Linked DNA regions of Arabidopsis thaliana. The protein of the gene in region 2 interacts with the protein of the main gene of each other region in a pairwise test. Each region holds a gene or a part of one and is shown on either strand. Other genes may lie near its edges. The genes, in order: AT2G12646, AT1G76870, ARR3 and AT5G56840.

Region 1 (4,416 bases), on a different chromosome or scaffold from region 2:
ATCTTGTTTATAAGAAAGTTACGAATCAATACTTAATTTATTTCACAATATTGATAGGATTCTGTCTGATTTTTTCAGAATTAGTTATATTTATTATATTTAACATAAATTACAAATATAAAAATAAATATCAATTTAAAATATATATGTATATATTTATAATATTGTTTTGAGAATCTCGTGGGTTCAAGTTTTAGTATTTTATATATATAAAATGAGTAGAAAAAAATTAGCTCTTATGAAAAAACAATATTAGAACAACATGAAAGATCCCACAGCTCGGAATTAGGAGCCACGTGAGTCACCATCAGAGCTGTCCAAAACAAATCTAATTTCATATTTCAGATTCTCCATATTATTTAATCTGAAACGATAATCTAAGCTATGAAAGCCGAAAATGTACAATTTCATATGTCAAAGACAAATTACATTGACTTCAACCTAGGTTAGATATATATTAAGTGACAAAAGAAATACTTGGCTGAGGCCTTTTAGGGATATTGAGGATACCAGAGTAGAAGAAACATATTATTATGCGATAAGATAATTTTTTTCTTATGAATTTATAAGGTATGCTAAACTAATATCTACGTAAGCAAAATAAAATAAAATAAAAAACTGATTATAAACTTTATTAGAGAGACCGCACGACAAGAATCCATACATGTAACATATAAGACTATATGGTGAAAAGAAACTAATAAAGAAGATTAGAAAACAAAAACAAAGAAGAAAAGAGTACGTTAACAGAGAGGAGATCGTTGAGGAACGCCTTTTCGCCGATTGATGCAAGCAGAAATATCGTCAGGATCCTCCGAAACTTCTTTATAACTATTAGCCGATTTAGCGCAAAGGCAAAAACCAGTCCTTTTTTTCCTCACGACATGGGTGGTGGTTGCGGCATAAGCAGCCGCCGCACCCGCATTGTTGTTATCCGAGGAAGCTGAGGACCAGCTCATGGACTCATCGCCGTCTACCACAGTTGATCGAGGAGTCTCGTAGGCCGCCACTTCATCATCTGTCAGTAAGTCTTGTGGGATGATGTAGTCAGGACCTAGGGTTAGAGTGTGGCATGGCTTGAGGAATGGGGTTATGTCCCTGTAACGTTTCATCACAAAGTCCACCTACATGTATATAAACCAAAACCTTTTATATAATCACATAGATTACTACATGCTCAAAAAGCTTAGATGTTATTCTGAGAACATGATATATTTATTACAAAGTGCAACATTGAAAAGATTTGAAAGTGTGGTGGTTTCTTAAAACACTTAGGGCCAAACCACTAGCTCAAATGATATGGGAGTATTTACAGTATTTATGCACCAAATTTACATAGTTCCAAGTTCCAATGGCAAGGTCAATGATAGACTTATTTATTAAAAAAGTTAGCCTCCCCTTTATAGAATTTCTTCATGTTTTTTTTTTTGTTAAATACATTAGTTCAGAAGGACAAGATTTCAAAATCGAGCCATATACGGGTTATTTAATAAATCCTTTTTTTTTTCTTGAGATTCTCATCTGCGGAAACTAACAAACTTTACGGGTTGAAAACATTTTAAAGGACAGCCAGGTTAGATAACTAAAAAAAAAGTGTGAATATTTTAACCAAAAGTAAAATAAAAAATGTTTTACGTTTGAAAAACAAAAATCAGGGTATTTGGTAGTATACTTGTTGTAGTATCCTGTTGATGTATTCGTATTTCTATTTGTGGACGAGTTAAAAGGGGAACATGTGTTTCTATCATAGAAACGAATCATCTATAAAGTTTAGACTATCACATAATTTAATTATTTTATATATATGCTAAGTGCGAATCATATAGTCAAGTAGAATTGAGTCAAATATTATGTAGAAGTAATATATAGTTAAGATGAAATAACCTTACAACCCAAGGAGCAATGGATATAAGGTTCTTGAAGACTTCGGTCACAAGAAGTGCAATAGTTGCCAGCTCCTTTGAATTGTCTATTTTGTGGTCTCTTCTTGATGAACACCACTTTTGCACTATTTATTGTATAAGCCTATCCACAATTCAACACCCAATCCATTTATATACATATATAGATATGAGATAATACATATATGTATAATAGATTACTTACTTGAACGTTAGAGCAGTCGATGAGTTTCTGAAGATCTTCAAGCCGAACAACGTCGTGATACACATAACGGCGAACTTGAAGGAGTCTATGGAATCTATGAGAGGGTACACAGTGAGGGCAGAGACTGGTGCAACAATCAAGACAACACACGTTCCTCTCGTTCTTCTTCGCCGTCTCATGGTATGGACATCCCACGAAGAACTTCTCTGCGTATAGCGCATCCAACCATGCCGGTTTCTGAATTCCCTACCAAATGATTTACAAAATCTCTAAAATATTTATCTCATAAACAATCTTAAATAAGTAAATAAAACTTCATACCATAATTCAACTGTTTCCTACATCCACCATTAAATCTATAATTAAGTACCAAGGAGCCAAGATGAGGATAAAGGGTACAAATATAAGGAATTCGGTACGATGATTGAGGTAATTTCACTACTTAAGATGGTATAGAATTGAAGAAGTAGTAACCTACCATGAGGACTCAACTGAAAGTCAGCTTTGGGAGATGGAAACTTTTGGCCACTACTCACTACAAAGAGTAATATTAGGAAGAGAAAAAGGATTCTTTAGGGGAGTACTTGATGATAGGATTTATGGAGGATCACAAGGGAGAGAGAAAGAGAGAAAAAAAAAACTTATATTTGATTATTCCTCGGAGATATAACTCTTTTACACATTTTAAATATCATATAAACTTGGTTGTTGTTTATTAGTGTTGGTGAGATGAGAGATAGAGGGAAGAAAAAGAGAGAGAAAGTGAGGAACGTGGGAGCTGTTTCCGTGTCTCCTACTTTAAACATATATTTATTGGGTCATCTCCTTGGCTTAAGAGCTTAATTAGGTTAAACCCTCCGTGAAGAAGAGTCTCTAGTAGCCATCACCAATTTTAATTCCTTATTTCTTCCTCTTATGATCTACCAAATACAAGAGAGAAGGATAGATGTGTTAAGACTCATATTGGTGTTCATTAACCAATTGAGGAAGATACAAAACTAGTATAAACTATTAAGTATCATCGGTCCAAGCATTGTGAATAGAATAGTAATGTATGCTTTGTTAGAAAATAGTTACATAGGCTTGTTGTAGATATTTATATAAGGTTAGTGATTCTTAAATTTAGACATAATAGATTAAATAAACAATGGATATGGATTGACTAGTCAAATTATTGCCTAGTAATACATTACAATAAGTAGTGTTCCAAGTAGAAGCTATGCAATGCAACCTACTTGGGCTAAAGATAAAAATGAACGCGACAAATTTTCGTAATGCAATCCTTACACCCTTTAATTACCGATAGAAATGTTATCTACTAAAAACTCATATATTTTGGTTGAACCAATTTTTAGATTCGTGGAAACTTATACACCGTCAAATTCTTGATGTCGTGGTATTAGTACTAAAAACTTATTTTATGCTTTATTATATAATATTTCAGTCTAATAGGAGTAGAAATGTACAGAGCATATGGTTAATCATAATGGTAGTAATTTATTAATTACAATACCCAAGAAGAAAACATCAAGAAAAAGATTCTTCTGTCTTACGCCAACTTGTTCTATTTAAATGTCATAAACGTCTAAATGGTACCGGTAAAAAAAAAAACAATTAAAATGGTACTTCTTGTTATGGCAGATAATTATATTTTATACGTCACCGTATTAATGTATGTTTATATATTAGCTGTTTAATCAAATTAAGGAATACTACCTTGCAATTTACATTAAAGTTTATCTTACAAATCTTACATCTTCTACTAAATTTTGTTGAAAATTTCAATTCTGCATAAAACAACCGCCAATTATAATTAAACATGCAATGATTTGTATAATTTTAACTTTTGTTTCCGTTTTGGGTAAAATATGTTTGATACAAATTTTTTTAACTTGTTTTATAATTTTTGAAAAATATTTGGGTTTACTTATAGAGGTGAATTCTTTTATTCACCTCCTTTTTCTCTAACCAATCAGAATCTTCCACCAAATAAAAAATATATAAACTCATTTAACTGTAAAATTAACAATAATGATTTTATTATATTTTCTTATTTTTTATTTTAAATAAATACAAATATAAACTTTAAATTCCATAAAAATTTAAAAATATTTCTTTTTTTTAAATGAATCATCATATCAAAAATATATTCCTCAACATGTCCGTCAACATCTACTTAACAATTTTAAAGTACATATTTGCTCATTTGTATGGATATGTTTTTTTTTATTTACTATATCTTAACTTTTTATTTTTGGATAAGAAAATCAAATATGATGTTTAATGCTAATATAAAACATTTGAGCTAAT
Region 2 (4,396 bases):
CTTAACTTGAGATAGAAACTCATCAAGATCCCCCTCAAATACCTATAAAGTTAACTATTGAGTAAGAAAAAGCACGTACCCGAACAATCTCTTCATATGTCTCGTCATCGATTTCTACTGTAGTGATAGTTTCTTCAACATCACCCAGAATCATATTCAAATGCTGATCAAACGCCTGCCCAAAGAATTAACAACAACAACAACATCAAACCTAAGTGAGTAACTCAAGAGTGTAGAAATCTTCCAAAATTTAAGAACTTTGTCAAAATTAAATTTACACAAACCATAAATTCCCAATTGCAAGCTCATCGCCATAACTCGAGAAAACGTTTTTAGAAACTGAAACTTGAAAATCAAAACCCTAGACTTTCCCCCAAAAAAGGACCAAATTCGACACCAAAACAGTGAAATCGGCAAAATAAAGTTACAAAATTCAAACGAACTATGTGTGGAACGAGTATTTTAAGTAGTGACAAGTTCAAGGTACTAAGCAGGGCACAAGAAAACGTACGTGAAGCTTGCCGCGAAGTTCGCGGTCTGACCGGAGCTTGACATAGATTCTCTCGTCGAGACTCAGCCTAATCAGATCTAGTGGCTCCCTCACGGTGGCTTCTTCCTCGCCGGACATCGTGTAGACAGAGATACCTTCCCACCTGAAACACTTCTCGGAGGGTTTTGGTACCGACGAATCGTATAACCGGACACAAACTCTGATCTCGCGGACACGAACTTAACAATTTTGTTCTACGAATAAGATTTTACAAATATATGGCAACAGCCCAACAGAATATTAGGCCCATAAACGAACGTTGGCGAAAAAATGTTTTTTTTTTCAAAACTATCGGCATATTTTATTATTTCAAAGATTATCAATGGGTTCTACTAGCTAGGTTCTACTTCTACCTTGAGAAAATTGAGTTGAGGTCTTGTATGTATAGATATTTCAGTAAACAAATATTAATGTTAGATTTTAATTTTAAAATGTAAATTAAGATATTAAATTTGACGTTTTGTACTTCGATTCGTTTGTTTTCTACTTACAAGCGTTTCACAACTTTTTTCGAGTTGTAACGCTTGACAGTTTCACAAAGTAAGCATACGTGTAAAATAGAATCATTTATTGTGACTAATGTTTTTAACCAAATATGGTATCTTCTAAAACGTGATACCAATCACTTTTTAATCACTATATACAAATTTAAGTTTAATATATTTATATATAAATTTATAACTTTTTTTTATCTGAATTGTAACACTTATTGGTTCCATAAAATAAATATATGTGCGAGAGTATAATAACTTGGACATGATTTGGTGATGAAATTCTACAATATTGTGTTTTTAAAACTCACATTGTATCTACTAAATTTAAATTAATATAAATTTATATGTCCAAACTAAGATAACATAAATTTAAACAATATAGAAGAAGAACGACACTATTGTTAATAATTCGATAAGATACTAAAAAAAAAAAAAATATACACTTTTTAACCTTTTTAATGTGAATTGTAACGCTTCTACAAAATAAGCACACGTGTAAGAGTATAAAAACTTATTGTGGATTTAGTAATGAATCATGAAATGTTGTATTAATGATTCAATAAGGAAGTAAAAAAAAAAAGTTTAAAAAAAAAAACTAATACTTAGATTTCCCTTGACAATCATATCTTTTAATATATAAAAAAACATATAAATTTCAGTTATTTCAAAATTCAAATTCATACTCTACCCATAGTGACTACCAAAATCAATCGTAAATAAATAAATAAAAAAGAAATGGTGGGTCCAAATATCTTCTGATACATTGGACATAAATAACTTTTGTGATTTGTCACTAAAAAAGATTTAGAAACAAGACTCTCTTCTTCTTCTTCCTCTAAATGTTTTGTCCGCCACACGCATTGTCTCAGTGATCAGAGTTCTTCGTCTCTCTACTTGAACTCTCATCTCTAAAACCCTAGACTCTCTCGTCTTCAATCGTTTTAAAAAGGTCCGTTTAGTTTTAGCATGAAATTTTCTCTAAAGATAAGTTTTTTTTTTCGTCTTTTGTTAGCGATGTTTTATAGTTTATCGAATTCGTAGTGTTTGATTGCGATTGCTCTGTTTACAAGCTTACTTTGATCGGATGATTTAGGTTTCATATTTGGAGAAATCCATCTAAGAAAAGTTTGATTTTGAGGAGAAAGACTGAATTTTTATTTTCTCTGATTCAGATTTTTCTTTTGGAAACTGTAGAAATGGAAGGAAATTGCTCGCAAGGACGCTTTGATTCTCAAGTTTCTTCTATGAGAGATCTTCGTCCAAATGCTATAAATCAGAATCAGAAACAACACCATCCAAATTCTCGACAAGACTCAGGCTTTAACAATACTATGGATACACGTCACAACAATGTCGACAGAGGAAAGAAATCAATGAGTGAAGATGATGAACTATGTTTGTTAAGTAGTGATGGTCAAAACAAGTCCAAGGAAAACTCTCCTTGGCAACGTGTGAAATGGATGGATAAGATGGTGAAGCTAATGATAACTGCTCTTTCTTATATCGGTGAAGACTCTGGTTCTGATAAGAAATTTGCAGTTTTGCAGAAGAAAGGTAAGTGGAGATCAGTTTCTAAAGTCATGGATGAAAGAGGTTATCATGTTTCGCCGCAGCAATGTGAAGATAAGTTTAATGATCTTAATAAGCGGTATAAGAAGCTTAATGAGATGCTTGGTAGAGGAACTTCTTGTGAGGTTGTTGAGAATCCTTCACTCTTGGATAAGATTGATTACTTGAATGAGAAAGAGAAAGATGAAGTTAGGAGAATCATGAGCTCTAAACATCTTTTCTATGAAGAGATGTGTTCTTATCATAACGGAAACAGATTGCATTTGCCTCATGACCCTGCGGTACAGAGATCTCTTCACTTGATTACGCTTGGAAGCCGTGATGATCATGATAATGATGAACATGGGAAACACCAAAACGAAGATCTTGATGATGATGATGACTATGAGGAAGATCATGATGGAGCTTTAAGTGACCGTCCTTTGAAGAGGTTAAGACAAAGCCAGAGCCATGAAGATGTTGGTCATCCGAATAAGGGTTATGATGTCCCTTGCTTGCCTCGTTCCCAAGCTGATGTGAATCGAGGAATATCGCTAGATAGTAGGAAAGCTGCTGGCTTACAGAGGCAGCAGATTGAGTCTAAGTCTTTAGAGTTAGAAGGACGAAAGCTTCAGATTCAAGCGGAGATGATGGAACTGGAGAGACAACAATTCAAGTGGGAGGTGTTTAGTAAGAGAAGAGAGCAGAAGCTTGCGAAAATGAGAATGGAAAACGAAAGGATGAAACTTGAGAATGAAAGGATGAGTCTTGAACTGAAACGAATAGAGTTGGGTGCTAAATTGTGAAGAGTCTTAGGAATTAAGGATCAAAGAAATTAATCAGAAAAAGTTGCAACAATGATTGGCAATCTAATCAGTTGCTTAACTTTGCAGTAGACATTATTATTAGCTAAGGTTTAAAGTTTGAGGTAAGAAATATTTTCATATTTTCAGATGTAATATTCTTATAGAAAGTGGTTCTGTTCTCTATGCTTGATTATGTCCTCATTGTCCTGTAAGTATCAACGACAGTGACAAGAACTGAGAGTAACTATTCAAAACTCCAACCTCTAAATTGGCTCTCTTTAGCCTTGGAGCTTTTAGGTAATTGAAGAATCTTTTATTTTCATAGGCGGAAAAAGAAACCTAAAGCTTGGGCCAAAAATGTTGTTTGGGCTAGTAAGAAGAAACAAATTAGGCCATGCCATTATGCTTAGTTGCTTACTGATGTAATACCCACTTGAATAAAAGGAAACTTTCATGACTTTTTTTTTATAATCAAGCCTTTCGTAACAAAGTGAAATAAGAAATGTGTGATCGAAATTTCAGAAAAAAGGCAAAAGAAGAATGTGAAGTTTGTGTTTTTTTTTTTATCCATCTTTCACCTCTTTATTGCCCTTTCCTTGTTCACAAGAGCCTCTCCGAGCTCTCTCTTTATCTTTCAAATTTGTTTTGCCTTTTCTTCTTTTCATTTCTTTTTTTTCCATATTATCATTACAAAAATGGTTCTTATTTGACCAAGAACGCATTAAAAGATGACATTCACTTATATTTGAAGGGAAATTCGTAAAATCAACATTTTAACAGTGAATTTGCTTCAGTCGTACATTAAAAACAAACAAGCTTTTATTTGACGCTATTATTACCTTCAAATTTTCATGTTCCAACTCCAACTCATCACCTAATTTTTAATCTTTAAAATTACCTTTTTAAGCTAGATAAATCAGAGGCTAATGACAACATCAAAGTACACAAGAATGGTAAAAAAAAAATATCAAAATAAAAATCGGAAATTAGGGACAAAA
Region 3 (3,720 bases), 6.8 Mb from region 2:
ATGGCAACAGAGAAAACTGAGGGAGTTATGTAAGTCGAAAGGCATTGTTGTGACAGCTTATTCGGTGTTGGGATCGAGAGGAGCGTTTTGGGGAACTCACAAAATCATGGAGTCTGATGTTCTCAAAGAAATTGCTGAGGCAAAGGGAAAAACAGTAGCTCAGGTACTCTCCAAAGACAGTTTTAAAATTATTTACGAAAACATTTTTAAATTTCTTTTAACGTATAAATATTAAAAAAAACAGTCGTAATTTAAAGGAAAATTTTGTTAATTACAGAAAATATTTTAACAAATCGGTAAACAAAAGTCATTGTTATATTCATTTGAAAATTAGTTTTATTTTTATTGTGATAATGGCTAAAACTATCTTTATGCGATATTTAATTTTGGACTATTGACTTATTTATTTGTTTGATACATTTTTATATTGTGCACTCACTCTCGTTGACCCAAAAAAAAAAAAAAAAAAAACTCACTCTTTAAACGGGTAATAGAGTGATGTGGAGAAGTTTTGGGGAATGAAAGTATTTAAAGCTCATTTTTAGAGTTGTAATAGACAATTGACTAGGTGAGTATGAGATGGGCTTACGAGGAAGGAGTGAGCATGGTGGTGAAGAGCTTTAGGAAAGACAGATTGGAAGAGAATCTGAAGATATTTGATTGGTCTTTGACAGAGGAGGAGAAACAGAGAATCTCGACGGAGATTTCTCAGAGCAGGATCGTTGACGGAGAGGTTTACATCTCGGAGAAAGGTCCTATAAAATCTGTCACCGAGATGTGGGACGGTGAGATCTGATCACTATGTGTGAATTATGGGGCAGTTGTAATATAATGTCTTGATTATTTAGTTTGTAAAGTTGCATTAATTTGTTTTGTTAAGTTGCATTTCCAATGTATAACCTTCATAAATGTTGTAGTTGTAAAATAAATGTCTTGATTATTTAGTTTGTAAAGTTGCATTTCTAATTTATAACCTTGAGAAATGTTTCTTCTTATTTTTTTCTTTTGTGAATATGCAAGTCTTTTAAGAGCAATTTTGAGTTTGAAATGTTTCTCCTTTTCTTTTATCTTTTTTTTTTTTTTTTTAATATTTAAGCTTCTTTCAAAGCATGTTACATGGACCCCAAAATCTTTAAACATCTAAATTAATCACATAATGATATGTACAATATCTTGTGAAAAACCTCTGTTCATCATTGCGATAAAGTCTTTCTGAACGGGATTTCTGATAGAAAACGAAAGCTTGATTTTGGATTTTATGTTTCTTTCACTTTGTCTATAAACCTTTTTATTTACTTGTTATGGTTTTGGTCATCATATTTTATGATGGTCTAAGAGTTTGTATTTATAAGTGGAGACAAGACATAGCTATGCATTAGATTTTTCTTCAAATTAAGCTCAAGGGTCCATCAAAATAGAGAGAAGAAAATAAAAATCATTTTCTGAACATAGTAAATGTGTTTTTAACAACAACAACAACAACAACAAAAGCATAGTACATGTGAGAAACAAAAAGACGAATTTGAACATTAAATCAGTAACATACATACCAAACAACCCTTGTTATGGGTTTGGTTGGTAATCCAAGTATATCTATTTAGTACCAATCCTAAAAGTAAGAAGAAGCAAAACCGGTACTTTCTATCTATATCTTATCATGAACTTCGAATTTATCTTTCTTTACCTATTCAGATTAGTTCGCTATTTCTTGCTGCCCCCATCCCAAAAAAGAAAAAAAGGTACGTACCGTTTTGTGTCATTAATCGTCACTTGGAATAAGAAAATATTTTGTAAAAGAAATGAAGTAGAAAATGATCCACCTATAAAAAGATTTGATATAGAAGAGTATAACAACGAAAATATAAAACAAAGTAGAGAGGAACTAGTAGCAATATCTCTCTTCTATCTTTTCATTTCCTACTCTTTTCTCACTATGGCCAAAGACGGTGGCGTTTCTTGTCTACGAAGGTCGGAGATGATCGGTATAGGAATCGGAGAACTTGAATCTCCGCCGCTAGATTCTGATCAAGTCCACGTTCTCGCCGTTGATGACAGCCTAGTTGATCGAATAGTCATCGAAAGATTGCTTCGAATCACATCCTGCAAAGGTTTCTTAACTAGTAATTCTTCCTCTTTCCCCTTTAACATTTTAAAAGCCTTATTCTCCGGCGATGATTCAATGCAGTCACGGCGGTTGATAGCGGATGGCGTGCTCTCGAATTCTTAGGATTAGACGACGACAAAGCCGCCGTCGAATTCGATGTAATCTCTCATAACTCTGTTTTAAAACATTTTGAGATTCTAGATTCTGATCTTGATCTTTATTTTTACCAGAGATTGAAGGTGGATTTGATCATCACTGATTACTGTATGCCTGGAATGACTGGATACGAGCTTCTGAAAAAGATTAAGGTTTCTGAAATTTTCCCGCCATAAAAACAAATTCTGTTACTTTTTTTTTTTTTCAATTCTTGATTTTCTTAAAAAACAGGAATCGACAAGTTTTAAGGAAGTTCCTGTTGTAATTATGTCGTCGGAGAATGTAATGACTCGTATCGACAGGTCAAATCTCTCGCCGGAATCTTTTTTTTTTGATTCCGATTTTGGTGATCGGAAATTTAATCAATAAATCTGTTGTAGATGTCTTGAAGAAGGTGCGGAGGATTTTTTACTAAAACCGGTGAAACTCGCCGACGTGAAACGTCTGAGGAGTTACTTGACGAGAGACGTTAAAGTCGCCGCCGAAGGAAACAAACGGAAGCTGACCACTCCACCGCCGCCGCCTCCGCTCTCAGCCACATCCTCGATGGAATCTTCGGACTCTACGGTGGAATCGCCTCTGTCTATGGTTGACGATGAAGATTCGTTGACAATGTCGCCGGAGTCTGCAACTTCGCTTGTGGATTCGCCGATGAGGAGTCCCGGATTAGCTTAGAGAGATCCGTGTGATAACGATCTCCGTTAACTTTTTACTTTTGACGGTTTTATTGACTGCAACGTTGACTTGAACGCCGTCAGTTTATACTTATAGATCTCTCTCTCTCTTTTTATATCGTTGCACGTGGGGTCTCTTTGCTCACGAAGGAACTTTTATAAAAACAAGTATTGTATTTATTTAATTACGTATATTTGATAATTTTAAAATTAAATAATGTTTCTATTTCTAATAATATCATAATAATCAAATAATGTGTGACAGTTTACCTCTGTGTATTCATATCGTCTGCTAATCACTTTTGAGATTTTGCCAGCGATTAGCATTTATTTGATAGTATGATATCCAATAATGTACCGACTTGAGGATACTTTTCTTTAATCTATAGTCTTTGATATTAAGAACCAAATCTTGTATTATTATGATATATTTTTGAAAATGTACTCTCAAATATTCCGCATGGCTTCTATGAATATTTTCAACTACTTACTCTAGCTACCACTAATTTTTGTGTGATAACTGTCTATTAGAGAAGACTACACAAAATAGTAATAAAATCATTTGCAAACTACACATACTATTGAAACTCGGCTTGTAATATTTACACCTATAATAACTAACAACTTATGTTGAACATGTTGGTGGTCTTTTTAATTTTAATCATTGAATAGGTAGTGGCTAAGTTGGTGACTACGACCACATATTTCACAATCACATGTCGCTAAACCATGACCATGTGGTCACGCATGCATGGCTACGAATTAGAAATGAAAACGGTTGAATAA
Region 4 (4,053 bases), on a different chromosome or scaffold from region 2:
AATCAAAAGATGCTAATGCAGATGCAAAAACAAATGATGATGTTAATGCAGCAGAAAGATCATGTGTTAGCACACTCCGAATCTTATGAGGAGGAGATGACAAAAGTGATCGAGTCTATGGAGAAACACTACTTGAAGAAAAAGTAGTTTTGTTTATTTTTGTTTGGTTTTGGTTTTTTCTTTGTTTGGTGTTCCTGAAAGTTGATTAATTACTGATCATGGATTCATTCATAAAATTCGTCTTTGCATAAATTGTGGACTTCAACTTTTGGTAATTGTGAGACTTCTTACTCGAAACAGAGACTTATTATATTTTGTCACCTCTTAAAACAGAGAAAAACAGAGAAGTATCGATTTAGAGATCAAAAGAATGTGATGTGTGCTGTTATTGTGGATGAAGAGCATTTGCATAATGTTCTAATTTGGTAGTTTTTTTCCTTCAATAATATATGATATAGTGAGCAACATCTTTAGAATATGTTTAGTAAATTTTTGTAAAACAAATTGACCTACCTCACCAAAAACAAACTTCATTGGACCAGAATTAAGTAGCCATTAGGATCAAATCAACAATAATATACTATTTATGTGATGAAATATGAATCCCCATCATTGTCCTATATGAATCAACATTTAATATATTTTAATTAGTCGAATCTTAAAAATGAATCCCAGTCATATTATCTTTATGTATGTAGAAGAAGATATAATCAACATTAAATAGATTATTATAGTACATCAACATGAATACCCCATCTTGTCATATTATATGTATGTGGGATAGAATCAACATGAATCCACATTCAGTATTCAAATTAGAAATGATCGTAGGCTATGACTCTAAAGTTAATTTTAATTTATATGATGAATGCGAGTACCCCCATTATAGATTCATACTATACATTATTTTATATGATCAAATATGAATCATCATCATTGTTCTCCTATACTTGCTCTTCATTCCGAATGTAGCAATAGAATCTCCATATTGCTTTTTACCAATTCTAACCATAAACAATTCATAGATAAATGCATGTTGGGTAGTGCTTTGTCTACTAGTAATTAATAACATTATCGATTACAATATTTGAGCAAATCAGGCAATCTTTAAATAAAAATATGTATACGATGACTCTTCCGTCCAACTAATATATTGAAAATATTATAAGATCCAAATTATTTCATTATTTATATCAAACAAAAACAAGAAATAAATAAGACTTGTCTTTGTTCATGTAAACAAGACCACTTTGTTGTTTGTTTCTCTATTTTACAAATTTGTAAATTATATTTTTGTTATGTTTCTTTCCACATTTTTATTAGGTCATCCAACTACCCACCTCCCCAAAACTATTGGAGGATCCAAGTCCTCTCTCTCTCAACCATATATCTTATATTTCCTTTGCAAAAGGATAGCCTTTATTATTTAATACACATAGATTCCATTATTGTTATGGCTACCTCATTCTATTCTATAAAGCATACATATGAGAAGAAGAAGCAAAATATAGACTATGTGAAAGATAAATGAATATTTCATATTTGTGAGACAAATTAATTAGATTAGAATTAACATTTTGTAGCTAGTCCATATTAGTGATAAATTTCCACTTATAAAGACATATTTTCCTCTTTTGTTTTTTATACGTAAGCTTGTCTTCTTATTGGCTAAAAGTAGAAAACACCAACTTGGACAACATCATTTAAATTATAAAACCCTCCAATAAATAAAACTTGGTTTATCCAATCATCTTATTTCTCTGTGCTCTCCACCATTTTACATAAACCCCAAAATCTCTCTTCATCATCATCATTCATCAACATCATCTCTCTTTCTCTATCTCGCTGTCCCTCCTTCTCTTTCTCATTCATTGCAATGGGCAGAAGATGCTCACACTGTGGAAACGTAGGACATAACTCAAGAACATGTTCTTCTTACCAAACAAGAGTAGTTAGGCTCTTTGGTGTTCATCTAGACACCACAAGCTCTTCTCCGCCGCCTCCTCCTCCTCCCTCGATTTTGGCCGCTGCAATAAAGAAAAGTTTCAGCATGGATTGCTTGCCGGCATGTTCCTCCTCTTCCTCTTCCTTTGCTGGTTATCTCTCCGATGGTCTCGCCCATAAAACACCTGACCGCAAAAAAGGTTACAACTTTGACATATTATGCCACTTTCCGAGTTTTTTTTTACAATAGGATAGTGACGTTTTTTTATTAATCCAAAAGTTCCGGGTATTAGGCCCATAATCGATTTGTATCGGAGATCAAAACATGTTAAACTGGTCATCGGTGGGATTGGTTTTGCCATAAAGATTTTGTACGTATATCCAAGTCGGACCATTTCCTAAAGCATGCAACCGCTATATATATAAGAGTAGTCAAGAAAATGATGTGTCTATAACGCGATCTTTAGCCTAGGATTTTGTTAAAAGTTTTTCCAAAAATAATAATTTGTGTTTCCGTAATTAGGGGTTCCATGGACGGCGGAAGAGCACCGGACGTTTCTAATTGGATTAGAAAAGCTTGGAAAAGGAGATTGGAGAGGAATCTCTAGAAACTTCGTCGTCACAAAATCCCCGACACAAGTGGCAAGTCATGCTCAAAAATACTTTCTCCGGCAAACTACCACTCTCCATCACAAGAGACGCCGCACCAGCCTCTTTGATATGGCAAGTAATTCCAATCTTTTCTCTATACATGCATGACAAAAGAATTTAAACTCTTTGTATCAAACTTTTATGTATTAAATCAAAATGTTTCTGTATCCAACAAAAGTCACATCTTCAAAAGTTCAAACAGAATTTTTATGTTGTTTTAAAAGTTTTCTTTCCAAGTTTTTTTTTCCCACTTAAAATATCGGAATTTTCTAAACCAAAAATTAGTCAAGATTTTAAGTTTAATCTAAGCTTTATTTTAATACCAAGTATATATGAACATATAATTTCTTGTAGAATCCGAAGAAAAAAATAGAAAATAATCTTGAATTGACAAATTTTTATATTCAACAGGTTTCGGCCGGCAATGTTGAAGAAAATAGTACTACTAAGAGGATATGTAATGATCATATTGGGTCGAGCTCAAAGGTTGTTTGGAAACAAGGATTACTCAATCCTCGTCTTGGATATCCAGATCCGAAAGTATCAGTATCCGGCTCGGGTAACTCCGGTGGACTCGATCTTGAGCTGAAGCTTGCGTCCATTCAATCTCCTGAATCGAATATTAGACCTATTAGCGTTACGTGAATCTATATAACACGTTATGATCAGTTTCATTAGAATAATTCAAATGTTTACATATATAATATCTTATCGATCCTATCTAATTTGATTTTGATTTAACGTTAGTTACTTTGATAATTTCGTCGATATTGTTTTTTTGGTTTTTTCATTGTGAGATTTTTTGTCTTGGAAGTTGGATCCATACATATTTCTGTAAAACTTTATATTTAAGGTATATATATCTAGCGCTCATAAAAGTTTCAATATTCCTATTATACTTTTAATAAGAAAGTTTCTTACGATAGAATTAGAACGGATAAGACAATTTTGTACATAGTACAACTTGTTTGAAGTTTCTTGTTTTCTAGTTCATTAAATATTTCAAGATTCGTTTTTAAAAAAAATATTCTTTTCGAAATGTGTTTCAAAAATTTAGAATACTTTTAACATATCTAAAAATTTAGAATACTTTTAAAATTTCGTTTTTAACAGAATACTTTCACATTGTTAGTTTTCTGTTAATAAAACAATAAACACGAGTTTCAAACATAATGTAAAGATAACTTTAAGAACTGATATTGAGTCCACAAGAGCTCAATAATATTTAACACTGAATCCACTTTAACACAAAACCAAGGGTCTTTCTCAGAATTGTTATAATTTTGTTGTTGGCGAAAAAGAAAAAAGAAACAAAAAGGTCACATTTTTTACATTTCTATATTTAGTGCAAGTTGTTTAATAGTGACACTACTATTGGAAATGACCCAAAGTGACTGGACGACAAGATATTATATTATTTATGATTTTGATATATACTTCCTCTTTTCACACAAAATT

The links.
Region 1: the proteins of AT1G76870 (region 2) and AT2G12646 interact in a two-hybrid assay, tested with the Arabidopsis thaliana proteins (one large-scale study listed by BioGRID).
Region 3: the proteins of AT1G76870 (region 2) and ARR3 interact in a two-hybrid assay, tested with the Arabidopsis thaliana proteins (one large-scale study listed by BioGRID).
Region 4: the proteins of AT1G76870 (region 2) and AT5G56840 interact in a two-hybrid assay, tested with the Arabidopsis thaliana proteins (one large-scale study listed by BioGRID).

What each region holds. Positions count from the first base shown.
Region 1 is NC_003071.7:5,166,436-5,170,851, forward strand, and holds AT2G12646 (PLATZ transcription factor family protein), read right to left. Parts: upstream 2,869-4,416; 5' UTR 2,588-2,868; coding exon 2,585-2,587; exon of another isoform or gene 2,431-2,584; coding exon of another isoform or gene 2,428-2,430; intron 2,353-2,427; coding exon 2,107-2,352; intron 2,026-2,106; coding exon 1,885-2,025; intron 1,125-1,884; coding exon 744-1,124; 3' UTR 549-743; downstream 1-548. UniProt on the Arabidopsis thaliana protein: Probable transcription factor that plays a central role in mediating RGF1 hormone peptide signaling leading to the production of reactive oxygen species (ROS) in roots to modulate meristem size and root growth, probably via oxidative post-translational modification of the transcription factor PLETHORA (e.g.
Region 2 is NC_003070.9:28,855,010-28,859,405, forward strand, and holds AT1G76870 (transcription factor), read left to right. Parts: upstream 1-1,829; 5' UTR 1,830-1,993; intron 1,994-2,216; exon of another isoform or gene 2,217-2,238; 5' UTR 2,239-2,240; coding exon 2,241-3,398; 3' UTR 3,399-3,842; downstream 3,843-4,396. Other genes in the region: LSM3B (Small nuclear ribonucleoprotein family protein), read right to left, coding at 80-175, 512-628.
Region 3 is NC_003070.9:22,065,109-22,068,828, reverse strand, and holds ARR3 (response regulator 3), read left to right. Parts: upstream 1-1,595; 5' UTR 1,596-1,657; coding exon 1,658-2,108; intron 2,109-2,185; coding exon 2,186-2,262; intron 2,263-2,334; coding exon 2,335-2,412; intron 2,413-2,491; coding exon 2,492-2,562; intron 2,563-2,640; coding exon 2,641-2,935; 3' UTR 2,936-3,212; downstream 3,213-3,720. Other genes in the region: AT1G59950 (NAD(P)-linked oxidoreductase superfamily protein), read left to right, coding at 1-163, 569-796. UniProt on the Arabidopsis thaliana protein: Functions as a response regulator involved in His-to-Asp phosphorelay signal transduction system. Phosphorylation of the Asp residue in the receiver domain activates the ability of the protein to promote the transcription of target genes.
Region 4 is NC_003076.8:22,978,913-22,982,965, forward strand, and holds AT5G56840 (myb-like transcription factor family protein), read left to right. Parts: upstream 1-1,725; 5' UTR 1,726-1,876; coding exon 1,877-2,144; intron 2,145-2,467; coding exon 2,468-2,667; intron 2,668-3,006; coding exon 3,007-3,240; 3' UTR 3,241-3,513; downstream 3,514-4,053.